Linked DNA regions of Coturnix japonica. The protein of the gene in region 3 interacts with the protein of the main gene of each other region in a biochemical or structural test. Links are inferred from orthologs where the notes say so. Each region holds a gene or a part of one and is shown on either strand. Other genes may lie near its edges.

Evidence for each region.
Region 1: the proteins of ERBB2 (region 3) and SLA2 form a complex in vitro, tested with the Homo sapiens proteins (2 studies listed by BioGRID and IntAct, with this or other methods). The link is inferred for Coturnix japonica from reciprocal best matches to the Homo sapiens genes ERBB2 and SLA2.
Region 2: the proteins of ERBB2 (region 3) and CRKL form a complex in vitro, tested with the Homo sapiens proteins (2 studies listed by BioGRID and IntAct, with this or other methods). The link is inferred for Coturnix japonica from reciprocal best matches to the Homo sapiens genes ERBB2 and CRKL.
Region 4: the proteins of ERBB2 (region 3) and BLNK form a complex in vitro, tested with the Homo sapiens proteins (2 studies listed by BioGRID and IntAct, with this or other methods). The link is inferred for Coturnix japonica from reciprocal best matches to the Homo sapiens genes ERBB2 and BLNK.
Region 5: the proteins of ERBB2 (region 3) and TXK form a complex in vitro, tested with the Homo sapiens proteins (2 studies listed by BioGRID and IntAct, with this or other methods). The link is inferred for Coturnix japonica from reciprocal best matches to the Homo sapiens genes ERBB2 and TXK.
Region 6: the proteins of ERBB2 (region 3) and ITK form a complex in vitro, tested with the Homo sapiens proteins (2 studies listed by BioGRID and IntAct, with this or other methods). The link is inferred for Coturnix japonica from reciprocal best matches to the Homo sapiens genes ERBB2 and ITK.
Region 7: the proteins of ERBB2 (region 3) and RASA1 form a complex in vitro, tested with the Homo sapiens proteins (2 studies listed by BioGRID and IntAct, with this or other methods). The link is inferred for Coturnix japonica from reciprocal best matches to the Homo sapiens genes ERBB2 and RASA1.

The regions. Positions count from the first base shown.
Region 1 is NC_029535.1:772,419-776,378, reverse strand, and holds SLA2 (src-like-adapter 2), read right to left. Parts: upstream 2,801-3,960; 5' UTR 2,519-2,800; coding exon 2,337-2,518; intron 2,246-2,336; coding exon 2,159-2,245; intron 1,867-2,158; coding exon 1,763-1,866; intron 1,078-1,762; coding exon 928-1,077; intron 859-927; coding exon 732-858; intron 653-731; coding exon 484-652; 3' UTR 264-483; downstream 1-263. UniProt on the Homo sapiens protein: Adapter protein, which negatively regulates T-cell receptor (TCR) signaling. Inhibits T-cell antigen-receptor induced activation of nuclear factor of activated T-cells.
Region 2 is NC_029530.1:7,298,309-7,301,808, reverse strand, and holds part of CRKL (crk-like protein), read left to right. Parts: intron 1-327; coding exon 328-790; intron 791-3,500. UniProt on the Homo sapiens protein: May mediate the transduction of intracellular signals.
Region 3 is NC_029542.1:3,920,760-3,924,867, forward strand, and holds the start of ERBB2 (receptor tyrosine-protein kinase erbB-2), read left to right. Parts: upstream 1-1,308; 5' UTR 1,309-1,463; coding exon 1,464-1,548; intron 1,549-3,805; coding exon 3,806-3,957; intron 3,958-4,051; coding exon 4,052-4,108. Other genes in the region: PGAP3 (post-GPI attachment to proteins factor 3), read right to left, coding at 1-273. UniProt on the Homo sapiens protein: Protein tyrosine kinase that is part of several cell surface receptor complexes, but that apparently needs a coreceptor for ligand binding. Essential component of a neuregulin-receptor complex, although neuregulins do not interact with it alone.
Region 4 is NC_029521.1:18,334,680-18,338,179, forward strand, and holds part of BLNK (B-cell linker protein), read right to left. Parts: coding exon 3,459-3,500; intron 2,126-3,458; coding exon 2,100-2,125; intron 1,551-2,099; coding exon 1,522-1,550; intron 1,231-1,521; coding exon 1,135-1,230; intron 333-1,134; coding exon 290-332; intron 1-289. UniProt on the Homo sapiens protein: Functions as a central linker protein, downstream of the B-cell receptor (BCR), bridging the SYK kinase to a multitude of signaling pathways and regulating biological outcomes of B-cell function and development.
Region 5 is NC_029519.1:60,026,559-60,030,749, forward strand, and holds the start of TXK (tyrosine-protein kinase TXK), read left to right. Parts: upstream 1-1,391; 5' UTR 1,392-1,494; coding exon 1,495-1,558; intron 1,559-4,191. UniProt on the Homo sapiens protein: Non-receptor tyrosine kinase that plays a redundant role with ITK in regulation of the adaptive immune response. Regulates the development, function and differentiation of conventional T-cells and nonconventional NKT-cells.
Region 6 is NC_029528.1:13,125,875-13,129,374, reverse strand, and holds part of ITK (tyrosine-protein kinase ITK/TSK), read left to right. Parts: intron 1-2; coding exon 3-121; intron 122-1,469; coding exon 1,470-1,627; intron 1,628-2,165; coding exon 2,166-2,237; 3' UTR 2,238-3,500. UniProt on the Homo sapiens protein: Tyrosine kinase that plays an essential role in regulation of the adaptive immune response. Regulates the development, function and differentiation of conventional T-cells and nonconventional NKT-cells.
Region 7 is NC_029547.1:54,365,730-54,369,823, forward strand, and holds the start of RASA1 (ras GTPase-activating protein 1), read right to left. Parts: upstream 2,801-4,094; 5' UTR 2,562-2,800; coding exon 2,173-2,561; intron 1-2,172. UniProt on the Homo sapiens protein: Inhibitory regulator of the Ras-cyclic AMP pathway. Stimulates the GTPase of normal but not oncogenic Ras p21; this stimulation may be further increased in the presence of NCK1.

The DNA.
Region 1 (3,960 bases), on a different chromosome or scaffold from region 3:
GAGAGGAGGTTTCCAGGATCTGTGCCACCACTGGGTGCAATGGGGCTGCTGTCAGCCATGTCTGCTGCTGGGGGGTTGGTGCTGCTAAGCCGTCCCTTCTCCCGCATGGTCCTCAAATTGGGTCAGTCCTCCCACAGAACTTTGGTTATAGTGAAGGCTGCCCGAGCTGCAGGGCTGTTCCATGCGCTCAGCGTCATGGTGCTGAAGTTCCTCCTCTCCCCCCCCCCCCAATAACCCTTAATTAAGACATTACAAACGGGTGATGCTGTTTGTCCTGCAAGGTTCTGTTTAATGGATGAGTTAAAGCTTTAGACCCATCTCTGTGGGGTAAGGGCCGCTGCCGTGGGGCTCCGAGGGGCCCAGGCTCTGTGCTACTTAGAGCCCCACGTGGATGCGCTGTGGGTCCTGGAGCTGCAGGGCTGCGCCTCTACGTGGGCCCAGCGTGTGTGTGTGGAGGGGCTGTGGGCAGGTCTGTGTGTGCCCTCAGCTGCTCTTTTCCTCCTTCCCCCCAAGTCCCATCTCTGGGTCCGCACTGTCCGTCAGCAGCAGGTAGGAGCTGATGGCTTCCCGCAGGCCCTGGCTGATGGGGGAGGAATCCTCCTCCTCCTCCTCCTCCCCTGGCGGTGCCGCGGCCTCTGAGAGCAGGACGGAGCTGTGGGGCAGACGGGGGCGGTCAGAGCAGAGAGCGGCTCCCGGCCCCAGCGGGACCACAGCCCCACAGCTGCCCACACCTGTCGATTTTGTCCCAGCTGAGCATCGGCTTCTTCACCACTGCGGGCCGGGCCGGGGCTGGCGCTGCCTTCGCCGCCTGCATCGCGCAGGGCGCCCTGAGGGTGCAGCACAAACCCTCCCCGCTCTCTGCGTGGGGTCGGCGGCGTCAGCGCGGGGCTGCACCGACCCGCGGCCGCCCCGAGTGCGGCTCCTTACCGCTGTAGTGCTCCACGAGGTCGTGCAGGCTGGGGAAGGTGAGGCGGGGTGAGATGTAGAGCCAGCCGTTCTCCAGGCGGTGGATGCGGTAATGAGTGACTGCATCCCACGAGGGGAGCTCAGTGCGCCGCACCGACAGCGAGAAACCGCCTGCGGGGATGTGGGATGGGCTGAGCTGCCTGCAGCCCCGCTCAGCGTCCGGCCCCAGCAGCCTCGCTTTTATCGGGAGGAGCCCGGTGCCATCCACACAGCGCACGCTGCCGGCTGCCCGCCGCAGGGACACGGGGCTGCCAGGACGGGCTCTGCCCGGGGTTCCCCTCCCCGAGCTGCCACAGCGCCCGGACGGCAGCGGTGGGAGCGCAGGGCGGCAGAGCTGCCAGAAGAAGGGCCCAGCATGGGGGGGTGCCCAGCAGGGTCCCCTCGTGGTTGCTGTGGGGCTGCCACGAGCTGGGCCCCTTTCAGCTCTGAGGCTGAGCCTCTGCGCTTAACCAGCAGCTGCAGGAAGCCGGTTTGTGGGGGCCCTTCGGTGGAGGAAGAGGCGCAGCACCGAGCAGAGCAGCAGCAGCAGGAAGCGGCCGCGCGGGGCGGCCCGGTGCCGCCAGGTGCGGTGTCAGAGCAGCCCCGCGCTGTGCCGGCTCTGGGCACGTGCTGCGGAGGGGCTGGGAAGCTCCTCACACTGAGGAGGGCGCGCGGGGCCGGGCCCGACCGTAGGTTCCGTGGCGCTCCCAGGGGCTCAGCTCCGTCCGGTGTCACACGGCGCTGCTGATGCTCCTGCCCGTGCCCGACCCCGCTCACCCCGTGGCTGCCCGTCCCAACCCCCCGGCGCTGCGCTCACCTCTCCGGGTCTGACTCTCTCGGATCAGGAAGGCTCCGCTGTGGTTTCCCGGCTGCAGCAGCAGCTCCTCCGCTTTCTCCCGGCTGACGCCCTCGTACAACCACCTGCACGGCAGCGGGCGGGGTCGGCGCTGAGAGCTGCGGCGCCTCCCGGGGACGGAGACGGGGACAGGTGGGCGGCCCCGCAGAAACGCCCGCGGCCGATGCGGCTCCAGGCCGCAGGTGTGGGGCGGTGCGACTGGGACGCCGCTGTCACGTCCCTGAGCTCAGCTCCAGTGCCAGCAACGGGCCTGGACGAGCAGCGGCTGCGGTTTGTCTTTGGGACGGCCCACGAGTTCGGGGTGTCCTGGCTGCGCCCCCCGGCTCTGCCCCCACGTCACCCCGGGCTGACACCCACCTGTGCCGCACTTTGGCCACGCAGCTGCTGGGTACGAGGCACTCCTTGCCCGACACCTGCGATGCCACCAGCCACCACTCCCCATCCCTGCGGGGAATTGGGACGCGATGTCCTGCTGCTGTTGGGGGGGGATCCCCGCGGATGGGCGCCAGCAGTGCCCGCTCGGTGCCGGACTTACTCAGAGAGGACGCGGAGCTGCTCGCCCATCCTCAGCGCAGCGCCCGCGCCGGAGGGGAAATCGCAGAGAGCCAGCGCCTGGAATCCGCCCGGGGCCGCCTGTGTGGGCAGCGGGGACGGCGCGGGGATGGCGGCCAACGGTGCGGCGCTGAGCGGCTTCTCCCGGCTGGGCAGGATCCCCATTCCTCGCCGCACTGAGCCGGCAGCGCGCAGCCCCCGCCCGCGGGCCCTACCGGCTGGAAGGGAAGGACGGGGCTCGGCCCGGCCCGACTGCACCCGTGGCAGAGAGCAGAGGGGCCGGGACCCGCAGCCGCGCGCAGCACACGGTGCCCACACCGGGCTCAGGGCTGCGGGCTCCCATCCCAGAGCAGAGTCAGCGTCCCATCCCCGGCACGGCGGCTCCGAGCCGGGCGGGACACGCGGAACTCCGGGACGGGGACGATCTCCCCCGGGAGCCCTTCGAGGAAACGGCCTCGGCCCCGGAACGGCCCCCGGGGAGCTGCGGCCGCGGCGGGCGGGGAGCCCCGGAGACGGACGGCCTCAGGGCCCCGCCTGGAGCCGCGCTCAGCGCCGCCACCCAACCCCGTGCCGGGCCGTGCCGGGGCCGTCGGGCCGCCCGGTGCTCGGAGCCGCCAGCGCCGAGCGGAACAGCGCGGCCCGCTTCCCTTCCGCGCGCAGCGCCGCACGTGGGCTCCTCGCCCGTGGGGAGGCGCAGCCGAAGCCGCGCGTGACCCGACCCCCGAGCTCCCCGCTGCCACCCGGCCGGGGTCACCCTCCCACCTGCCGCTCACCGCCATCGCGCCGGGCTCCTCAGGGCCGGGCGGGCTCCGAGCATCCCGGCGTTTGGGCGCGGCGCGCAGCGGGGCGAAGGGACGAGGCCTCGCTCCGCCGGGACACCTGCGGCTGCGGCTGCGGCTGCGACGGACGAGGCTGAGCGGGATTCTCCTTCTCGCTCCGGCGCGGCCGTCGGCAAAGCGCGGACGGGTCCCGCCGCTCCCGGCGCCGCTCTCTGCCCCCGGCCGCGCTCACATCCTGCCGCAGGTCGTGCTGCTCTGACGGCTTCTGGTCAATCGCAAACCGCCGTGTCGGTGTGAAGTGCGCACGGAAGAACAGAGAGCACGAAAGCGGCCGCCAAACGGGGCCGGACTGAGCGCTGAGCGCTGAGCTGATGCGGCGCGTGGCCCCTCCGGTGCTGCGACCGAAGAACGGAGAGGAACCCGCGGGTCGGTCCGGGACACGCCGTGACCCGGGATCTCTTTGCAGCCTCAGGTGCGGCAGAGCAGAAGCTCCGCACACACCGCTATCGGTCGCTCCAGGAGCTGCGGTAGCAGCTGTGCCGGGGGGAAGGAGCTGCTGTGGTCACCCCGACTTCCTCCTCGAAGCCGTGCCCGGTATCGCTGCTGTGTCTTGAAAGGCCCCGCGGACGGCCGCCCTTCTCCACCCCCAGAACGAAAGGGCCGGAGCGCGGCCCGCGGTGCGCGCACAACGAGCAGCTCAGCGGCTGCGCCTCCCGGCTGCCCCGGCCCGGAGCGGTGCCCGGCAGCGCAGGGAAGGGGCGGCTCGGACCGGGATCCACCGCTCGGCCCCGCGGAGCCCGGCAACGAAGCTCCCCCTTCCTCACCTCC
Region 2 (3,500 bases), on a different chromosome or scaffold from region 3:
CTCAGGTCTGTCATTCAGGGTTACTGGATTCTTGACAGAAGTAGATGCTGAGGTTAAAGATGGAAATGCAACGAACTGGGAAGGATTATTTATCTTTCTCTAAGAACTTCTCCCCAGTCACCCAAAACCTTTTCACTTATTTTTAATGTATCACAACCTCTCATACCTTAAGCCACAGAGATCTTTATTCTACCCTTACATCTTCACAATAATTCAAATGAGAAAGTTACCCTTTACCTGGTGTTCCTAGTGTGCAGCTTGTGGCTAGTTTTGTTACTGGAAATGCAAAACAACAGCTGTTGATAATTAGAACTTTTTTAAACTTAGGTATCCAAGTCCACAAATGGGATCTGGATCAGCCCCTACTATGTCTGCTGCCGAAGAAAACGTGGAATACGTTCGGACACTCTATGACTTTCCTGGCAATGATGCTGAGGATCTCCCATTTAAAAAGGGTGAAATACTGGTAATTGTAGAGAAGCCAGAAGAACAGTGGTGGAGTGCCAGAAACAAGGATGGTCGGATTGGGATGATTCCTGTTCCTTATGTAGAAAAGCTAGTCAGATCTTCTGTCGGGAAACATGGGAACAGAAATTCCAACAGTTATGGTATTCCAGAACCTGCCCATGCTTATGCTCAGCCTCAGACCACAAGTCCCCTTCCCACAGTATCCAGTACACCCGGAGCAGTGATCAATCCTCTGCCATCCACGCAGAATGGACCAGTCTATGCCAAAGCTATCCAAAAGAGAGTACCCTGTGCTTATGACAAGACTGCACTGGCATTAGAGGTGAGTTTTCCCCTTTGTCTTACAGCTTTCCAATGATTTTGAAAAATAAACTAAATATTGTTAGCGACAGAGCTGGTGTGGATGACTTCATGTGGAGTCTGTTTATCTGTGTCAAAGGACTGGCAAGTTCCATTATGTTCTGAAGAAAGATGTAGAAAAATTGCTTCATCTGTACCACTTCCTTTGAGAAAAGTGACTAAGCTAATTCAGAACGTAGGCTTAATGCACTGTTGTCTTGCCTATGGAACAGTGAGATGTGCTACAAGAGCAGTAGAATACATACATCCTTCTGTGGAAATACAAGGGATGACTTTGCTTCTCCATTTAACCTTGGAGAAGGGATATTTAACTGATCATTCCAAGCTGAAAACTGAAACAGAAAGGTAAGGATTGCTGATAAACAGCTGATTTTTCTGATTCTCAGCTGTAACTTTTTGGGCATTTGTGTGCTGGAGGGGATGGACACGGTACTAAATTATAGGATTAAAGGCCACAGTGTAGCTTCTAAACCTGCACTGAGTTTAGTAAGTTCCTGTGCTTGCCAAAGTGCTTTGTATTTTCTTTTTAGGGACGTCTCAAAGCCTTTGACAGCTTTATTCTTTAAATGGTAAAGAATTCCTGTTAACAATTATAATTGGCATAAATGATGGAATGGAAGTTCTTAAAAGCATACCTAGCATTGAGACTTACTTCTACACTTAGTTATATAAGGAGCTTGTTAACTCATCCTTCAGAAGTGTCTCACCTGGAAACTGTGCTATTGCTTACTGTCCTCAGAAATGAAATTAGAATCTGGCAAAGTACCTCAAGAAACAAATGTGGGGAAACAAGCAAGGGAAGGAATGACATCTTAGCAAGCAGAACAGTGATTTAAATAATAGTTTTGAACTTTTCCTGTTGCCTTTTTCAGTTTATAAATGAAGCTGCTTCCAAAGCTGCTGCTTTTCACTAATATTCAAAAGGTTTTGTTTGTCACTTTTGGCTATTCATAAAAGTTTCTCCAAACTGCCCTCTTACACAATCTCTACAGGTGGTTACTGGCAGAGGGTTAAAAATTAAACGTATCACTGTTTTCCTTGAGTCTTACCAAAGCCGGCAGCCTGTCATTGGTGAACAGTGTGTGAAAATTAGCGCAGGAAGAAAAGTAAATTCTCTGCCAACTGCACTGTACAGAAGATTCCTGCCTAAACTATTCATGCTTCTGAAGAGAATAAGGCAAGCAGTTGATTTTATGTTAACAGTGTGTCATAAAACAACTTTAGGGAACTTACTTTGCTGCAGGATAGCAGAACTGCTTGGGAGGACGGCTCTCACTAATGAATTTACTCTTATTTTGCTATTTACTGACCTAGTTAATTCTATCCTGTAACTGCCCTGATATACTGGTAACATGCATTCTCTGGCCAACATGCAGGTTGAAACTGTCATTAGAGCTTTTCCATCCATGCGCAGGGAAAGTGAGCAACTTCATTTCAAAGCCATGCTTTTTGTCACATGTACTATTTCTAAAGAATGCTCCAGATTCTTGACATAATCTTCCTTGTGTTTGCTTAACACCTGTTGCTGGCCCAACCTTCTCTGGACTCCACAAGTTCCTTAATAATCCAAACTACTGGAGGTCACATTGTTGAAAATGACAGGGTTCACTTAGACTAGAAGTTCTGTAAGAACACAGACAGTTACCAACAGGAGGGAAAGAACAGCTTAGGGAAATATTTGAGGGAAGAAAGTTAGCGGTGTTCTTTGAAAATAATATATTGCAATATTCAGCAGTTCATATATTGCAGTAGTCACAGTCCAGCTTGTATGTATAAAAACACCTTGGTACAGTTGTACTGATTTTGTAGTCTCATCTAAACTGATACAGCAGTCTGAAAACAGAATATCTGCTTGCTGGCTTTAGCTTTCTGTGGTCAGCACACAGACAATGCTTGAAAGAAGCAGAAAACCATCTGGAGTAAATAAAGCAGTTGCATAGTAATCTGCTCAACTTCTTTTTAAGTGGAGGGATGTCATTTCCCAGGGCTCAGTTTGAAAATGGGACAAGCTCTGCTTCCAAGTCTGATTTTTCTGTTGTATGCAATTGTTTACAAAAGCTGTCAAAATGCAAGACAAGATAAAAGAGCCACAGCCTGCTACAGAGAAGAAACTTGTTTGGTAAGGAAGGTAATTTAAGTTTCTCCCATGGAAAGATACCATTTATAAAGTGAATATTCTACTGAAAATCCTTGTTAAGATGTTTGGTAGGATGTTTAACTTTGAAACAGTTTATAAAATAGGACAGTTTAATGGCAAGCAGGTTTAAGGGTAACTGCCGTGTCCTTTTTTTTTTCCCCATAAGGATACTCATTAGGAAGCATGGCATTTGTACTTATTACTAAACACTGTGCTCAGTTCAGTTACTTACACTGGCAGTGCAGATTTAACACTTTTAAATGAAATATTGAAGTTTGCATTTTCTCACTGTAACCTTCCTGACACGTGTTGTATTTCCAAAGGTACTGGATACACACATAAAAAACCCACACAATAAAAGCAACAGCAAAGATCTGCTTCTCTAGTTGTGTGCTTTCGCCAAGAGGCAATTTCCTTCCTTTTTGGCGCTGCAGAGGAAGGAATATGAAGGACAGGGATACAGTGTTCTGTATTTGTTGGAACTGGGACTCTCTATTACAGGGTTACGTGCTGCTCTTCTTCAACCTCGGTTTTC
Region 3 (4,108 bases):
CGCCGCCCCGGAGCAGTTCCGCCGCTCGCAGCGGCCCAGGCACTCTCGGTACAGCGGCTCCCGGTCACCCTGAGAGCCCCGGGCCGGGCCCGGTGCCGCCGCCGCTCCCAGTAACAGGAACAGAGCGGCCCGAGCCGCCCCGCCGCTCCCCATGGCCGCACGGCGCGGCTTCCGGCCCGCCCCGGAAGTGGAGGCGGCGCAAAGCATCACGGGATATAGCGCCCCCTGCGGGCACCACGTGAAAACAGCGATCCTGCAGGAGTGGAGCATCATGGGAAATCCACATTCACACTTGGGCGCTCACCGCAAAGGCTCACGGGATATATCCCTCCGTGCGGCTGGGGGGCTTCGGAGGACTCGGCAAGGCCTAGGCCCGGTTGGGCGGCCGTGCCCGTTGTATATATCCCCATATATCCCCTATATACCCCTATATAACCCTATATACCCCTATATAACCCCATATATCCCTATATACCCCTATATAACCCCATATATCCCTATATATCCCCTATATACCCCTATATATCCCTATATATCCCTTATATACCCATATATATCCATATATATCCCTATATATCCATATATATCCCTATATATCTCCTATATATCCCCTCTATATCCCCTATATATCCCTATATATCCCCTATATATCCCCTATATCCCCTATATATCCCTATATATTCCCTATATATCCATATATATCCCTATATATTCCTATATAACCCTATATATTCCTATATAACCCTATATAACCCTATATATCCCCTATATATCCCTATATATTCCCTGTATATCCCTATATATTCCCTATATATCCTTGTATATCCCCTATATATCCCTATATATCCCTATATACCCCTATATATCCCCTATATATCCCTATATATCCCTATATCCCCTATATACCCCTGTATATCCCCTATATATCCCTATGTATCCCTATATATCCCCTACATATACCCCTATATATCCCTATATACCCCTATATATCCCTATACATCCCCTATATATCCCTATATATCCAGTGTCCCCAACCCCTATGACAGCGTGAAGTGACCGACACCGGGACGGGGTGACCGGGAGCACCGGAACCGCCCCGTGTCCATTACGGTGCGACCCCCGGTACCGGATACACCCGGTTCGGTGCTGCCTTTACCCCGCTGCTCCCGGTACCGGCGGTTCCGGTGCTGCCCGGGACATCGCGACCCCCCAGTGTCCGAGTTCGGTGCCACCGGGATCCCCCCGTTACACCCGGTGTTACCGGGATCAACCGGGATTCCCCCGTTACACCCGGTTGTACCGGGACGGACCCGCCGCTTCCATCCCTCGTGAACGCGCTTTGTGGGCGGGAGCGCGCGGCGCGTCCCCGCGAGGTGGAGCCCGGGAGCGCGGCGGAACCGCACCGCAAACTTTCCCGGAGCGTCCGGTGCGGGGCCATGGGCCGCAGCCCGTCCTGAAGCGCCATGACCGACCCCCGGGGCCGCCCGTTGTGCCCCGTGCTCTTATCGCTGCTCCTCGCCTCGTTCTGCCCCGCAGCCGCCACCGAAGGTGGGTCCGCCCCGACGGGCAGCGGGGTGGGGGTGAACGGCGGGATCGGAACGGAGTTGTGCGGGGAGAACCGGGATCCGGGGCGGGGAGTGGAAGGTTTGGGGGTAACGGGGATAACGGGGGTAACGGGGGGTGCTGGGGATCTGCGGTTCAAAGCGACCCCCCTCCCCCACAGACCCCCCGGCCCGGTTGCCCCCCCCCCCCCCCCGCCGTGGGCAGCCCCTCCCTCTCGCCGTTCCCACGCGGGATTGGGCTGAGCCGGGAGACGCGGGGCCGGGGGCGGCCGCTCCGCTCGGTGCCCCCCCCCCGGTGCCCCCCGGTGCCTCCACTCGAGGGTTTGGAGACCCTAAAAAAAGCTCCGTCCCCACCGGCTGCGTGGGCTGGACCCGCTTTACCGGGGTCCCGCAATCACGAGAGGTGCCACGAGAGCCCCCACCGCCGGGACAGCCCCCCCTGCCCCCCATTCCCCGGTTTATGGAGCCGGTTTCGGGGCGCGGATGGGCCCCGGGGCGGCGGCGGTGCCGCTCGGTGCGGGTGGGCGGGGGGTGCGTCCCCGCCGGTCGCTCCCATCCACATTCTCGAGGTGCCGCGCCCTGCCCGGCCCGACGGGAGCAGCCGGGGCACGATCCAGCGCCGCGGGGCCTCGGTCGGAGCGAGGACGGGGACGGGGCGGGCATCGGCCCCACCGCCACCCCCCGGTGTTTGTGGGGCTCCCAGGGCAATAAATGGGGTCTCGGTGGGTCCCTGCTGCTCCCATCGCCCTGGAACCCGAGCTCCGAGTGCTGGCCCGTCCCCACCGCTGACCCCAGCCCCAACCCCGGGGGTGCGATGGAACTGAGACCGAACCGGGATCCGTCCCCCCCGCCTTCCCTGGGCCCTGGCAGCACCGTGTCCATCCCGTGCCCGCACGCAGCAGGTGGAGCAGACCTTGAGCTTTGGCCGTTCCCTGCGGGGTGGGGGCACCGGGCTGTCCCCACCTCCCCGTCCAACACGGGCAGCTCCGGGGGCACAGTTTTCCCTTGTGGACGTTCGGGGGCCGCTGGGGTCGTTGGGGGCGGCTACAGCCCGGTTCGTCCCACGGCCTCGTGGCAGCTGCCGGCACCGGGGGCCGTCACTCAGACCCCGCACAGCCCCCCCCGCACCGAGGGCAGAGCGCCCCCAACCCCCGCCGCTGTGTCCCCATAAGTTGTGGCGATGGTGGAGCCGAGGGGTCGGTGTTGGGGGCGACCAAACAAGAGAGGGGACAACGGGGACAACACGGTGACCCCGCTCAAGGAGAAGCACGGGGGGCACCGTGGGGGTCTCGAGGGACGCGGTGGGACCCCAGCCCACATCGGGGCCGTGGGGGGGGGTCTGTCCCGCGTGGTTGTGGGGCGCCGGGGGCCGCGGGCGGTGCCGGGGCTGGGCCGTTCTGCGTCACCCCGCTCGCTCCCCAAACACGCCCGACCTGAAAAGGCGGTTCCAGGCGGGACGTTGCGGCCGGACCGGGCCGCCCCAGCGCCGTGACTCACCGCAGCACGACCCGCCCCTCCCGGCCCCACCGCCACGAACGGGGACAGGAATGAGGGGGGGTCGGAGCGGGGCGGCCATGGGACGCGGCCATTCGGGGCCGCTCAACAATCGCGTGTTGTCTCGGTTCTCCCCCCACCCCCCGGCGGCGTGGGGGCACTGCGGGATACACCGCATTCCTGCTCCGCGGCCCCCGCCCCATTCGGGGCCCCCCGGTGCGGGCTGTGGGGACCCACCCAGTGCTGGACGTGGGCGCTCAATGGGGGTCGTGGCTGCTGCCGACGTGGGGGCAGCGGTGCCGCGGTGGGAGCTGGGGGTCCGCATCCCCGTGTATCCCCGTGTATCCCCGTGTATCCCCTTGTATCGCCGTGTATCCCCCTGTATCCCCGTGTATCTCTATGTATCTCCATGTATCTCCATGTATCTCCATGTATCTCCATGTATCTCCATGTATCTCTATGTATCTCCATGTATCTCTATGTATCCCCATGTATCCCCATGTATCCTCGTGTATCCCCTTGTATCCCGCTGTATCCCCGTGTGTCCCGCTTCCCCCGTCCCCACATCACACCCGGGGCCGCTCAGGAAGCCCATCGGAAACCCATCGGAAGTTTTTGGGAGCCGATAACCGTCAGCAGCCGCAGCGTTTCCTGCGGCCGGATCCCGCGGGGGCGATGGCCCGGCCGGCCTCGGCTGACCCCTCCCACCCCCCAACCCCCCCCCAATACATCCCGATCCATCCCCGCAGTGTGCACCGGTACCGACATGAAGCTGCTGCAGCCCTCCAGCCCCGAGAGCCACTACGAGACCCTGCGGCACCTGTACCAGGGCTGCCAAGTGGTGCAGGGTAACCTGGAGCTCACCTACCTGCCCCCCGGCGCCGACACCACCTTCCTCCAGGTGCGAGGATTCGGGGATACGTGGATGGGAAGGGATGGGGGGGGACATGGGGGCACCGTGGGGGTCTCACCGCCGTGCCCACCCCCCCCTGCAGGACATCAAGGAGGTGCAGGGCTACGTGCTGATCGCTGAGAACCAAGTGAGCGCCGTG
Region 4 (3,500 bases), on a different chromosome or scaffold from region 3:
GTTCTTGTAGTTTAAGCAATTTTTCTCCCCCCCCCCCATCCCCCACACCTTTTTTTTTTAAGTACAGGATGGTATTTGTACTTGAAGCCGTTTGAAATTTTTTCTTAGACCAATACAGGTGTCCAATATACCTCTTCTGTCCCAAAGATTAGTAGCCAAAATTACAATATTAGGTCAATCTAGCATCCAAACTTATCAGTTTCTGTTATTTAGTTCAGATAATAAAACTGAAAGGATACAAAAATCAAAAGAGAGTTTTGCACACCCTTTAAATGGGCACATTACTCACTGTTTTTGGATGAAGGCGATTTCTGGGGAGAGGCAAAATATTTCTGGAAAAAAACAGAAAGTCAGTCAAGATAAGTAGGATTTTTACTTATTTTGTTTGAATGTTTGACTTAGATATCCATTGCAAGATCTAGAGAGTCCTGAAGAAAATGGTTTTAGTTACAAGTATACTCCACCACAGTGGTTGTGATGCTCTACCATATAGAGGAACCCATTTAGAAGAGCTTCTAGTTCTGAACTTTGGTTCCCCTGCAGCTGTGCACAGGGGACCTAAACACTGTAACAGTGTTGTGAATTCCACCTGCTCTTCCTGGGGCATATGACCTACTTGGTAGAGTGATGACCTAGGAATGAGACAATGTCTTGGTTTCCAAGCAGCTTCCTATATTTGTGGATACACAGGAATGAAAGAGACTGCATGCTTTTTTTTTTTTTTTTTTTTTTTTAAACATTAATTTTCCTCTAGGGACTTGGAATTTAATAACAGATTTACCAACTCTGTTTATACAAGCAATCCTACACCCCATCCACTACAAAAATGTCTTGTTTGCGAGGGCACAGAAGCCAATAATAGGACTTCAATGTAATTTGCAGAGATGTTTTACCACTGTATTAATTCTTGATTGATATTAATTCTTAATTGATTCAAGAAAATAGCGCCTATCTCGCAAACTGGCTTCAGTACAGGAGTTAAGGATGAACTTTTATTCTCAACGTACTCCAGCATCTCTAGCTATTTGCAAATCCTGACTCCTACGAATTGTCCAAATGCTACACAATAAGTAGAGATTAGAAAATTTTGTCTCCACTCTTATTTGTTATTAATATAAACTGCTGCCAACTTACCTGGAAGTGTCCAGCTTAGGTGACTCTCTAGTCATGCTGTGCATGTGCGAGTGCTCTGCATTCTGAGCACGTGTAGCAGGAAGTGGCTTAGTGAACCTTATAGTCAAATGTGAATTGAGGAAAGAAAATCACATTTAACAGTGATGAATAGAAAAGATGACCCACCCTACTCCTGCTCTGCCCCTTAAAAGTCCTAAAAATTACCCTTATGTAAGTAGTAGATCTTTTAGTACATTATGTTAGGGTAATTGAAATTAACATAGAAATGGATAACAATCTTTGCGTAGGTATTTTAAAGATAATTATTAAGCATATTACATCCAGACGAGAAAATACACTTTCCAACAAACTTTAAATAGTATACAAACACTCATAGCAAGAGATTACCTGGATACGGGTGGTGGTGAAAGTTCTTCCTTTTAAGAGAAAAGACACAGAATTTTTTGGTCATTTTGATTTCATAAAAACATTTCTGTGATCATATTTATATTATCATAGCAATATCTTATTTTTGTATTGCTTGTGGTAGAATTCTGCCTGGTGATGTGCTTGAGGATGGTAGGAAACCACCACCAATAGATTTGGAAGCCCTGAACACACTGGTGTGGTCATCTGTCATGTCAGAGCCAGCAAGCAAAGAGAAAATTACTGTGTCAGAACTGTCATTACTCCTTTGCCTGTGACTGTGCTTCTCTGGAGAGCATTCTCCTAAGCTCCTGCTTCCCAGACCCAACTGCTATCACATAGGACTAGAAATTTCAACCCCTTCCCAGTTATTCTATTTGGCAGATATCTTGAATTGCTTTGCCAACTTTTCTGTGAAGGAAGTGTCAAAGCACTAAGCGAAAACAGATTTGTTCCATTTTTCCCCTTTCAAAGACTGATTTTTATATGCATATACACTCTATAATCACTTATGTTACTCACAGACAGGGTACAAGAATCAAACTACAGGAAAGTCTTACCTCTTCTTCAGGAACCTCGTACACTTCTGTAGGACAGGGTAGAGAAAGCAAATCCTTTAGATAGCAAAAGTGCACTACGTGTTACCAGAAAAACTGAACAGAATTTGTATCAACTGTATTTTGCCTCTGGAAAAGTAACTCGGAAAGTTGTCCCTGCTCCTGGTTCTGCCTCCTAAATCCTCAAGCAGCCACAGCCCTGCTGCTTTTGAAACAACAGAGAACTCAAGGAAGTGTGATAAACAGTCGCTGTATGAAGGAGAGTTTTCTCCACCCTTACTAACTCCCCCCACCCCAGCCTCTCAAAAAGCAAGACAAATCCTGTGTCTTGCAAACCTGGGACTCTTTGGAAAGGTGCATTATGACATCTGTGGTAGCAGTCAGCCTTTCCCTGACTCTCAGGGAAGAAAAGATCAGGTGAACCATACACTCAGATAGATCCCTTTCTGTTTCATGTCCATCCCTGGGCACAGAAGTATTTTAATTCACAGATACTAAAAGACAAGAACACCATCGTCCTTACTCATGCCCACTTTATTCAATGGAAATTCAATTTTATGTCAGTTTTCATTGCTTTTATTACTCTGAAAAGTATCCACATTCCCACCAGGGGGAGATGTTTTATTTTTTTTTAGAAACATCTGTCTAGAGTTGGCTGTTGCTTAACACTGATTTATAGAAAGTCTAAGATAGAAAATAGCATTTAAAATATCCAAGAAGCATGTCACAAATCCTCAGGTCATTCGTAAGAAACTTTTATAGTTTATGCCTCGAATTCATTCTGTTTGATGCCAAGCAATTACTGACACATTCAAGGATACAAAACAACTTGGAGTTAGCACAGCTAAGGAAGATTAAGCAAATATGCACATACTTAGAAAAGCAAACATGATTCTCACATTTGCTTCTTTTTTTTTCCCCCTTTTTCCAAATAAATTGCTTTTTACAGAACTTAGGAACATTGTTATCCCAGGGCATGCAGCACATCAGCCTACATGGAATTTCTCACATATTTTAAAATCACATCAAGATTCAATATTGAATGTTGTTTCCTCTGGTGAAGTGAGATTAATAGCATTCCAAGTCCTATAATTGTTTTTGCCGTATTGATCAATTTGTGTTCCTCTATAGACAAGATGACTAAGAATAAATTAGGTTGGGGCAAATGACTTGTTCTAGTTTTATTTGTGCTTAAAGCAGACTTACCAACCAACCTAGGCAAAACAAATGCTATAACACTGAAAAACTGAAAGGGAAACATTTTATGTATTACATGGTTTCTGTTGGGAATACATCAATCATAACTTAATATTGCTCAGTCTTAAGTTATTTTGTTTCAGCATCAACACAAACTCCACATACCTTGCATGTCAGAGGCAAGAGAGGGCTTTGCAGGAGTAGGGA
Region 5 (4,191 bases), on a different chromosome or scaffold from region 3:
AATGTGTATATAAATAAACTGAACGTTAACATTATTTGGAACAATGTGTAAAGAGTTGCCACTAATTTACTGTCAAGTCAGTGCGTCGTAAGCCAGTCTCATTGTTCATGTATATAAGGCATTGTGATTGGTCATGTATATACATACCTGCATGTACACGTGCTCTCTATTAAATGTATATATTTAACATGGATATATATTTAATTGGATTTGTCTGTGTTCAGAGCAGAAATGGTTGAACTCTTTTAATACCTGCATGCCTTTTCCCCTCTGCTGCTTCTTCTGCTTCCTCTTGCTGAAGTCTGTTTCAATTCACCTAACTTTGGACCAAAGCATCTGAGGAGTATTTGCTAAATATAGTTACCTTAACACATTCTATAATTCCTGTGTTTCATCATTTCTGTCTTGGAGGGGCTTAGATTCTTCTCACTGCTTTGTCTAAGCCTTTGTATTTTGAATGAGGATGAAGTATCTTGTATGAAGAAACGCTTTCTTTTCCTTGTGATATTGCATCAGGAACTTATGGGGTGTCAGAAAGGGTTTTATGGCATTGCCAACACCTCTGACACTGTGCATAGTTTTAAAGGAATAAGCAGTATTTCACTTAAAGTATATATGAAGCACTGGATTATCAGGAGAGTAATAATTTCTAGTAAACCTTATGGATGTTTCTTTTTTCTACAAGAATTACGTGCTGATCTATATGGTAAAGATTTCCCTAACTGTGCAGGTATTTGGCAGATTTCCTCAGTGGAGATGTGCACTTTGGATGACGCTTGGAATGCTGTACTTCACCTGCCCCTTCATGCTGCCCAAGGATAATTTCTACATACCTTCCACTGGGTTTTGATACTTACATCACCTATCAGGATCTGTGAGGCCACCTCATTTTTAGATGAATGCATTTTTCAGTTGAATATAATATAGCCTCAGGTGTTACTAATTTTGAAAGAATCAGAACAGCTTTTGAGGCAGCTCTCTTGGTGACCTTCTCATGCAATCAAAGGCAGGTTAAAATACCACGTCATCGTTTCTTCTGCGTGAGCTCAGTCAGTCCTTAATCACCTTCATGCTTTCTTCTCCTTTTTATTAAAACAAAATTATTATTATTATTATTATTATTTTTCTTCAAATGTCAGGATCAAAAATTTATCAGAATGAGACCAAATTCAGTGGCATAAGGCTGCTGGGTGTTTTTACCACTTTCAGCAGTAGTTAGCCCTAGTGACAGCCGTTCAGTATTCTTTTTATTTGTAGAGTGTATATTTGGTTTTAGATAGCAGAAAGACTTTTTCTCATGATTTTTCCTTTTTTTTTTTTTTTTTTTTTTTCTATTGAGAAAGCAACAACAGCAGCAGCAAGCAGGCATGAGATTAACATCTAGTAAGGTTTTTTTTTTTTTCAGGAAAGTAGGTGGAGTCAGGCTCTACTGATGTCTTACCTTGATTCACAGCAGAGATAAGAGTGCTGCTGGGCTATTTACAGGCACAACTGATGAAAGAAGGTTTGCATTTTCTTGTGAATATAAGAGGAGAACCAGATATGATTCTTTCAACCTGTAAGTAAACTGGCCCACATATTTTTCTCTTGAAGTATTGTTTTGTGCAGCAGTTGTGTGTACACAGCAAACGAGCTACTTAATTATTGCCATAATTATACCCAATAGTTATCTCTCATGTGGCTTGGTTGCAGATTGAGTGGTCTGTATTTGGACTCCTTTTCTTGATTTTCGAAATTACTACATAAATTTGAATCCATTATACGATGGATTCAGTAAGACATCTATCTTTTCTGATGGAGATGGATGGAAACGTGGAGTTATTCCCATATGTTGTCCTTAGTGGCACATAGAAATTAGATATGAATTAAAAGTTTGGTAGAACTTGAGCCTGCTTTCCTCTGGTGCAGAATTAGTACACAGAAGAACACAGCTGAAGTTTGTACATTTGAAAAGCTGAAAGCTTATCTTTTGAAGTATTTTTTAGCAGCAAACTGTACTGGAATTTTCTACTAGATTAGCTGTCAGTGTAGTTGATCAGGAGGCATACGTATATTGAGCATTGTGGTAAAGACTTGGTTTTGTTGGGTGAAGCTGAATTTGAGTTTTTCTCAGTATAGCTTTGTATACAGTTAATGTATCACTACTGCAAGCATGGGAACTCTGCAGAACATTCAGTACAAATACACATCCTAGAAATGGGCTATGGCACTTTCAAAATCAGTAGTGCTTTGAGGTGCAGTGAATCAGAAAAGTGATCAAAGTGTACCAGATCAATAGACAAAATAATAAAATGCTGATTAATAAGAACTCATCTCTGACACGTTGCTTTCATCTAATCCTTTGATACTATTTCCCAAAGACTACAAAATTGAGTGAGGTATAACTGAAGATAGGGGGAAGATTGCATGTATTTGTGGCTGATTCACACACTGTCACACAATTTTATCAACCCAAGGTGTTCTGCTGAATGTTCTAGGGCTCTTTTAGCAAAACTACCTGCAGCAATGGACCATCCCAAAGGACATGTATCTTTTTACCGTGTCTTTTCTGGTTTTTGTTTGTTTGTTTTCTTTGTGAGTATTTGTCAAGTGAGCTTCAACATCTCATTCCTAGGATTTATGCTTCTTCTGCAGGACTCATTTGCCACTATATCTTCTCACTTCTCAAAACCAGGCACGCTAAAAAAATTTGCTTTTGGGCATCATAGTCCTGTAAGTGATCATAATTAGTGCTGGTGTTGGGTTTTACACTTGTTAACTTGTCATCAGGAAAATGTGACTTTTAAAAAACCTCTTTCCAGGAAGAAAAAATACTAGCAATTAAATGGGCTATGCTTTTTTTGTTGTTGTTGTTCCCATGTTAAATTGAATATGGAATTGGCTGACCTCTGAGATTGCAAGCATTTGTTGGAAATTGGAAACAGAAAATGCTCTACACAGCAAAAGGAGGAGGTGTTGGCAAATCCTGGATGCAGCAGCCTAAATTCTCATCTTGAGTTGAACCTACATTTCAAGTTCTCCACCCAACTGATTTGTTAGAGATCCTTACTTCCTAAGGATCAAAGCCAAACGTATTTTTGTAGTTTATGTTTTGACAGAGCTCAAGGGAATGTGGGCTGAAAGGTGCAGAGACACTGTGGGTGCTGGAGAATTTTCTGCTTTCACTGATACCATCACTGCTGGGTTTTTAAATAATGAACTCTTGAGTGTGGTCAGGGGATCAAGGCCTAATTAATATCTATGAGACTAAAAATCTTTGAATCCAGTGTTTTGTTTAAGAGAAGGTCCTTAATTCTAAACAGGGAAATCAGAATTCTTCCACTGATTCCTGTTTGTACGTTTTAGGGTATAGCAGAAAAGAGATTCAAGAAGAAATGCTGAAAATCCATTTTCAATTTCTTTCTTGCTTTTTGTGTGTGTATTAAAATACAGGGAGGTGTCTGTTTAATTTAATTTTTTTATTTTGATTTAAAGCTTTTGAGTAGAAGACGGTAAAGACAAAGGAAGAGCCTCAGTCATCGGGAGGGTGTGTGCAGCCATAAAAGCCTCAGGCAGGAAGTACAGGTTTCCTGTAGCTGTGCAATGAGCATCACTAGGGCATCTGGAGGTAGTGCCCTACATGTAGATATCTACTTGTGTTGCTAGCAAAGATCAAATTGTTCAGTGTGTCAAAGCTTTCACCATTTGCAGTGTTGGCCAAATATGTCAAAAAAGGAGGTTGGTGTAGAACAGACGTGGTCTAACCTATGCATTGACTTCCAGCTTTGGCTCTGTGTTGTCAGCTTTACAATCTTACTAGAACATCAATTTCATATTTATTTCAGAATCAAACAAATCTAATGAGAAATGATGTATCTAATCAGACCACATGCAGTGTCAGAAACAGATAAGTTTTCAAATGTCTTCTATTTCCTTTTGCACCTCACTTGAATCGTTCATAAACAATTACCTTTCTGGAGTTTTTTTCGCTGTTCTTTTTCTTTCTTTTTTTTTTTTTTTTTTTTTTTTTTTTTTTTTTTCCCAGGCTTAGAAAAGCAATATATAAAAAACAAATATTTCCCAGCTGACTTCTAGGAAAGGATTGTTTGTTCCAAGCTTGATCACACTGAAGACACTAGCTAACGCAGTTCTGCTTCCCAGCAATGTTAGAGACTGTGTTCAAAGTTAAGCTGCTGCAGTTTTAAGCAACTG
Region 6 (3,500 bases), on a different chromosome or scaffold from region 3:
AGGATTGTTCTTGATGATCAGTACACCAGCTCCACGGGGACCAAGTTTCCAGTTAAATGGTCTGCCCCAGAGGTTTTCTCCTACAGTAACTACAGCACCAAATCAGACGTTTGGTCATTCGGTAAGAAACTCTCATCAGAATGGAAAAAATGAAACAAAAAAAAAGAAGAAATATCAGCTAAATATCAGCTCAGAAGGACCTGGGGGCTTAGTGCCAAAGTAAAATGTTCTAAACACTACATCTTCAGTGTTCCAGTGGTGTTTTGCTTGAATAGTAGCTTGGAAAATCAAGCCTAAATCATCCAGGTGAAAGAAAGAAAGGAACAGTAAACCACCTACACACTCTGAAGCACTCCAGATATTGCCAATATAATAATGTATTGTACCCATACAATGCTATTTTATGATGCTACTGAATGACTAACCAAGAACATGTAGGAGAGTCAGAAGGTTTCTAAGAAAAAGTACATACAGACATTTAAGCATTTCATCTCTCTGACCAGCAGTCCAAAGCACTGAAGCTTCATTCAAAACCTCTGCCTCTGAATTTGTTTTTGCTGACTCTGTTTGCTTTTTGTTGATCTGAAAAATATTATTTCAGTGCTGACATTTTCTCACCTAATTTCTCACTCTCCAGTGCATTGTTTTATGATTTGCATCTGTTCTTCGATCTCCTTTCTGGATCCTCATAGATAAGAAAGCTGCTGTATGTTTTTTTCCCCACAGCCATTGCCACTGGAGATAACAAAGACTATTCCCTGGCCGGTTGATCTGGCACACTGATGTGCCTGGCCTACATCCAGCTAACATGCAAATAGTGGCAGTGCAGAATGAATCGGTACAGTGTGTAGAGCACAGCACACAGTCAATGGGGTGCCACTCAGCTCCGTGCCTCGCAGTAAATAATGCAGGGTTATACCCTTGGCTAGTCTGTGCTTGAAAGTTCTGTGCTTCCCTCTGCCCTTCCTAGGAGCTGTGTGTGGTTGATGCTGGGTGAAGTGATTCATCTGTCTCTCTTCTTTCTTTACACTGTGAACAGTTTAACACCAGAAGACCAAAGAAAGCAAGACTAGTAATAACACCAGAACTTGCATTCACTTTATCTGCAGTCCTTTTCTGATCTGATGGCCAACTCTGACCAATGCCCACTGCCATTTTATCTTGAATATCATCTACTACACTGGATAAGCACAAGTTTCTGTACTGCTCTGAACAGTAATCATAGGAAATCATGAGTGTTTAGGAAAAGCAAAAATACGTGCTGCAATCCTTTGAAATTCCACCATGATTGCACCGTACAGCTGTGTTAGGCCATGATTTTTCTGATGCATGCTTCAAATCCGAGCAAGAATGCTTTTTCAAGTAACAGACACCAATGCTGCGCTTCAAAGATGAGTGAGAAAGGGGCTGTGGGCCTGCTGAGAATGTGATTTGTGTCTTGTGTAATTGTTCCCATTTGTTTGCTTTAGGAGTGCTGATGTGGGAGGTCTTCAGTGAAGGCAAAATGCCTTATGAGAATCGCACCAATGGAGAAGTGGTAGAAGAAATCAATGCAGGGTTTCGGCTCTACAAGCCCAAGTTGGCCTCCAAGGCTATTTATGAGGTGATGAGCCACTGCTGGAGCATGGTTAGTATTTCACTGGGAAAGCACTGCTTCCCAACAAGAGCTGTCTTCCCTTCAGCATTTAGGAGAGTTTACACCTCACATGCTAATACAAGATACAGTGCTGGAGATGAAGCACTCTGAGGCTATCACTGTGTTAGCAAGATGAGTTAAACATTCAGGTCTTTACCTTTTATTTAAGCTGCTGTCTCTATAGAATGCATTGACATCACCGAGAAGTCTATACAGTGCACATAACTCAAGTTAGTTCAGCATTTTGCTTCCTAAGAAAGCTACGAATCAGTTGTGCTCAGTTTTAACGTGGATGGTAAAAATGACAGCCTGCCCCTTACAAAGTACTCAGTGTCCTCTGGGGAAAATTCACATTACTAGAGAAGGAACACGGTGCAGAAGGAACGTGATTCTTCTGTTGGCATTCTCTCTATAAGAATGCATTTTGTTTCTGTTAAAACTCACCTTTCTCCACAAGGTTTTCCTTTCTAACCTCACCATACCTCCCACACTGACATTAATATTCTCTCTCTCTCTCTCCTTCACTCAGAGGAAAGAAGACCGTCCGTCCTTTTCTCTTCTGCTTTATCAGCTGAGTGAAATCTCTGAGTTTGATCTGTAATTATGGCACTGGCTGCTACATGAAGCTAAGAGAGTCCTGAGCGGGCAGATGGCTGGATTTTCCCCACACAAAGCAATAACATGAATCCTTCCACCACAGAAACTTACTGCGTGCCTGAGGAGAAGCAAAGGGCAGAGGCCTGTACTTCCAGAAAGACGAGATATTCCCAGGTCTTCCAGAGCACAAGCAGACATGGGGTTTGGCTTGGCCAAGACTGTTGTTTGCATCTTCCAAGCAGAACCAGCAAATGAGCAGAGATTCCTGCAATATGTAACACAGCGAGTGTGCTTCTCGTGAAGATTCAGCCTCAAAACTACGAGATTTGGCATTGATGTTCCAGTTCTGCAAACTCCCAAAGGTCTCCCCTGGGGAAAAACCTTTTCTTTGACTATGAAGGAACACTTAGACATTTCCACGGCTCTCTAATTCAGAGTGGGCTGGACCTGAAAGCTCTGAACAAAAATAAGCCTGGGATACAGAGGAACAGGCTGGATTTAGTGACTGCATTTCTGATGCTGACATTTTAAGGTGGTTTTGTTCTCCTTTTACACAACTTCCTATGAAAGTGTGGCTTAACAGGCACAGGATTCTGATACCCCAAAAGAGGTGTCTGCAGTTCGTGAGTAGGAAACAGGAAAAGTAATGTGTTAAAGAGTCTTGAAATCCTCTCAAATTTCTACAGTGAGGGGGAAAATGGGACTCAGATGCACATCTAGGTGTTCTGGGGGGGGGAACTCAATCTGAAAGTTTCTGTTGATTTTTTTCTTCAATCTTTCTAAATCAGAAGATAAATAAATAACCTCCACCAGCTTCCTCTACATGAGCATGGAGGACACGGCAGGGCAGAGCGCTGTGTGCCTCCAGTCCAGGAGCAGACAGGATCCTGTGCCAGGGAGAGACAGAGGAACCTATTCCCTAACAAGTGTGCCATGAGGAGGAAACAGAGTGTGTGATCAGTGCACCAGTGCTAATGAGAAGTTTTACTTCAAACAGAAACTGAATCATCACAAGCAAAGACTCTTCCATCTCTTCTGAGAACAAACTGGTCAATCTTCTAGGGAATGATTAAAGAAAGAAAGTCTTATGCAAACAGACTGCCTCGGTGCTGCAGGAGCTCCACAGCATGTGGTGAGAGCACAAGAAGGTGTGAGCAATATCCATCTGTTGGTACTTCAGTTAATATCCTCCGCTGCAGGACAGACACTGATTTGACATAACTGACCTCCAAACCAGAAATGTGGGTGTTCGTGTCCTGCAGCATCT
Region 7 (4,094 bases), on a different chromosome or scaffold from region 3:
TAATCTTAACTATAAATTCAATCATTATTCCTAAAGAATTATAGCAAACCTTTCCCTGTATAAGATTATAGATAATATTGATCTTTGTTTTGATAATAAATCAGGAGTTTAATTCCATAGAAGCAGATGGTACATCTACAAAGAAAGGGCCCTTCCAAAATAAAACAGCAGGACTGAGAGGATGCGATTTACTATCAGCATATGGCCAATCTGAATGACTTAAATAAGAACGATGAAAACTGACACCATAAAGGAGCTGAATGAGAGAGAAACACGGTTCTATTCAATCAATTTTTTATTGAAAAGTCACACTCCGAGGGTTATGTGGCAAAGGAAAAGCTGTTAAGAACACAGAGTAGGGAGGTACGTGTACATTTTCCACAATACTTGATTTGTTGTGAAGGATTCTCTTTTATGAAGAAAGCTCAGCTCACAGTTATGCCCTGGTTCTGCAAAGACTCCTGTCTCCCTTTTGTCTGAATAAGGTACTGTTAACCAGAGCAAATTAGGGCCTGCACAGCCTTCCCCTCAGCACACACTTGTCAAAGCACTTAAAGACAGACATCACTCCAGCACTTCAGTCACAGGACAATGCTCTGACAGCAAATCCCACTCCTATTAGCATATGTCCATATTGCATATTTAGGACCGAACAGGTGGTCATTTACAATCTGTCACCCCATTTCCTAAAGATACTTCCAAAAAGGACTCTCTCTCTCTGACTAACATAACTGGATCTAATGGAAAAAGCAGTCTGATCTATTTTCAGAGAGAAAACCAGAAGTACAGAATTGTGTGCTCCAGTGATTTGACAACCCTGAAGAAGTAATTTCACATTCGTGTGCCTCTATTTCCCTCCTGATCCTTTGTCAGAACTGCCTGATCATATTTCCAGCTCATTAGTGACGCCAGTCAAACACTGTTCAAACACTGCCTTAAGTTAGCAAACTTCTACAGAAAGTCAAGAAATCAGGAGATTACAGGGAAGACTGTCAAAGCGAGAGACATGAATTTAAAAGGGATTCATATCGGTACATTTTTATGTCCTCCTGATGACTTTAATGATTCCTGAAATCATGGAAATACACGAATGGTGCAGAAGTCTCTTAAGAGTGGTACTGGGAAAGAATGTAACAAAGAACCCAAACTCAGATGGGCTTTCAGGTCGTCCTTCTGATCCACGCCTTGAAACTATCTACCAACCCTCATGGTTTCACACAATCAGACTCCTTAAGGTTGGAAAAGCCCGCTATGAACATCTAGCCCAACTGTTTCAGTACCTTGAAACCTTACATTATCTACTATCCTCAGGAAACTTCAGGAACAACACATTTCTAGACACTACTTGGTGCAACCAATAGAGCTTCTGAAGCAACTCCATTTTTTAAATAGCCAGGCACCCTCCCAGAGAACTGTTTTCTGTACTGAAACGGGGCTTGAGGTGCTACACACAAACCTGCAGACTTCCTATGCTTCAGCCCAAAGGTTGTGCATGGAGTGCTCATTAATTACACAAACTACACACAGCATTATCTGATCCTACATTTTTCACACAATATAAATTGAGAACTGCTCTGCTCAGAGTGCGAAATTCTGTTACCAGCACCACAGGACATCCATTCACCTTAAAACAGAGATAACAGAATGAAATCCAACAGGAGGTTTGCAGGATTTTCACCTCTGCCTCCTGCCTCCATACAGACAAACCAACATCAGCCTCGCTTTAAACTGGCTGAGCAGCAAAGTCAGGCGCTATTCTGTAAGCACAGCCCGCCCACTATTTTAAAGTAGAAGAAGAATTCTACTCATTTCCAACCCGCGTTCCAGAGTGAGCAAACCTCACCCTCCCTACTCCACGAAGGCAAACACGTGCGTGCAACCTTCGTGATATTCCTGTATGAAATAACAAAAAGGCTGGGGTGTTCTTTGTGCTGTTCTTGTTGCTTTTTTTTAAGGTATAAACAACGGAATGCAAAGGGATGACACGAGGAGAGCAGCGCTTTGTACAGCGGGGAGGTCTCCGCCTGTTACAAAGTTAGCGCCGCAGTCCCAGTCTGTCCGGGAGCCGCCCGGGCCTCCCCCCGCCGCACGGACACGCGGCGCTGCGCGGAGCCGCGCTCTTCCTGCGCTCCGGGAGCGGAACCGAGGGGGGTGGGGGGCCGCGGTACTTACTGGTTGGTGGGGGGCGCGTTCAGCGGGATGGCCACCTCCTCCTCCTCGTACTCCGGCCCGTCCAGCGAGTCGCCCTCGTCCACGGCCGCCAGCCCTCCGGCCGGGGGTAGGGGCGGCGGCGGCGGCGGCAGCGGGGGGAAGGCGGCGGAGCCCGGCTCGCTGGGCGGTGGCGGGGCTCCCGTGGAGCCGAGCGCCAGCAGCCCGAGCGCCGAGCACAGAGCCGGGCCGGCGCCCGGGCTGTCCCCGCCGGAGCCGGAGCTGGAGCCGGGCGCGAAGGGGCCCTGCGGCCCCGGTGCTTTGCCTCGGCAGTGCCCCGGCTCGGCGGCGGCCGCCGTCCCGGCCGAGGTAACCGAACCGCCGTCCTCAGCTCCGGCCTCGGCCGCCATCATGTTGAGCCTCGCCCCCCCTCCCGTCCGCCGCTCGCCCTCCCGCCCGCAGCCGCCGCCGCCGCCGCACGCCGGGGAGGTGGCGACAAAGGGGCCCCGGCCCACCCCGCCCCGGCGGGGAGCGGAGCCGGGACGAGGGCAAAACTGTCCCGGCGGAGACGGGCCGCGAACAATACCCGGCTGGGCGGGGGCTGCGCGCTCACGGCGGCTCCGCAGGGCCCCGGCGCGGCTGCCTCGGCCCCGCCGGCCGCCAGGGGAGCGGCTCGGCCGCCCCGCGCTGTGCCCGCCCCCGTGCGCCCGCCAGCCGGGAGGGGGGAAGGACGGAGGCGGTGGGACGGGCCGCGCATGTGCGCCGCTCCCCAGCCTCGTCCCTATGAGCGCGTGCGTGGAGCTGGGCGGGGCAGGAGGGGGAGCGGCCGCACCGCGTGGGGGAGGAAAGTGCGGGGTAGGAGCGGCCCGAGCCGCCATGGTGTGCGGCCAAGGGGCGGCCATGGTGCGCCCTGAGGCTGAGCTGCCTTTGGGAGGGAAAATAGAAGAAAGTATGGGGAGTAAAAGCCAGGAGAGGCGGCAGGTGGCGCGGGGGCACGGCGGGAAGGGACGGCGCGATCGGGGCGTGCTGAGCCCGTGCTTTGTGTGTCCCCGTTATAGCTGCACCGCCGTGTGCTGCGGGAGGAGAACAGCGCATCGCCTGCAGCCGCTGTGTGACCGCACTGCCGCCCGTACTCCATTGCCGGTTACTCCGTTACCGTGCTGATACTTCTCTCATTATCTTCTTTTTTTCTTCTTCTTCTTTTTTTCCCTCCCCCCCCATAATAAAAGAGCTGACAAATAGCAGCACGTTGACACTTGCACGCCTCTCCAAAGTTCTCAGGAGGCATCTAAACATTCAGGTTTTCAAAGCCTTGTGTTACCAAAAGAATTAAGTGAATTTCTCCCCAGGCCACTAAAACAAACTCCTACTCGCGCTTCCACCGCCCTGCAGACAAACCTCCTTTTATCTGCCGAAACGAACCTTCCTATCTTGCCTTCTGAAGGCAGGATCCCATTCCAGGTCCTGCAGCGCTGCGAGTACCCGTGGGACTCTGCTGGGCTCGTGCCCGGTGTCAGAGCAGACGCTGTCTGCGTCCCTGGGCTCACAGAATGGCAGCGCGTTCATGCCCTGCTGTGCTGGTAAAGAAATTACAGTCTCAACAGCCATCTCTTACGGGCTTGGTTTCCACGTTGCCATATTTCAATCGGATATGTAATTCCACGTTGTCTTGCAGCCCACTGGCTCCGTGGGCTTCTGTTTAATGCTGTTTGCTTTCTCCTACGGGTTTTTAAATAAAAGGATTTCAGCACAGTCTTGTTGTTAAAATGATATTCCTAAACATAGAGCTGCAGTGTAAATATTTATGATTGCTTCGACGAAACACGCTTTTTTAACTGACTTAAAGGGGCAACAGCATGCGCATATAAGCATGGAGACCAGGGCATCTGTGCTCTGAATTTCCTGCAGCACTCCTCCAATAGATTTAATCTGGGTAGAGCAGTTCT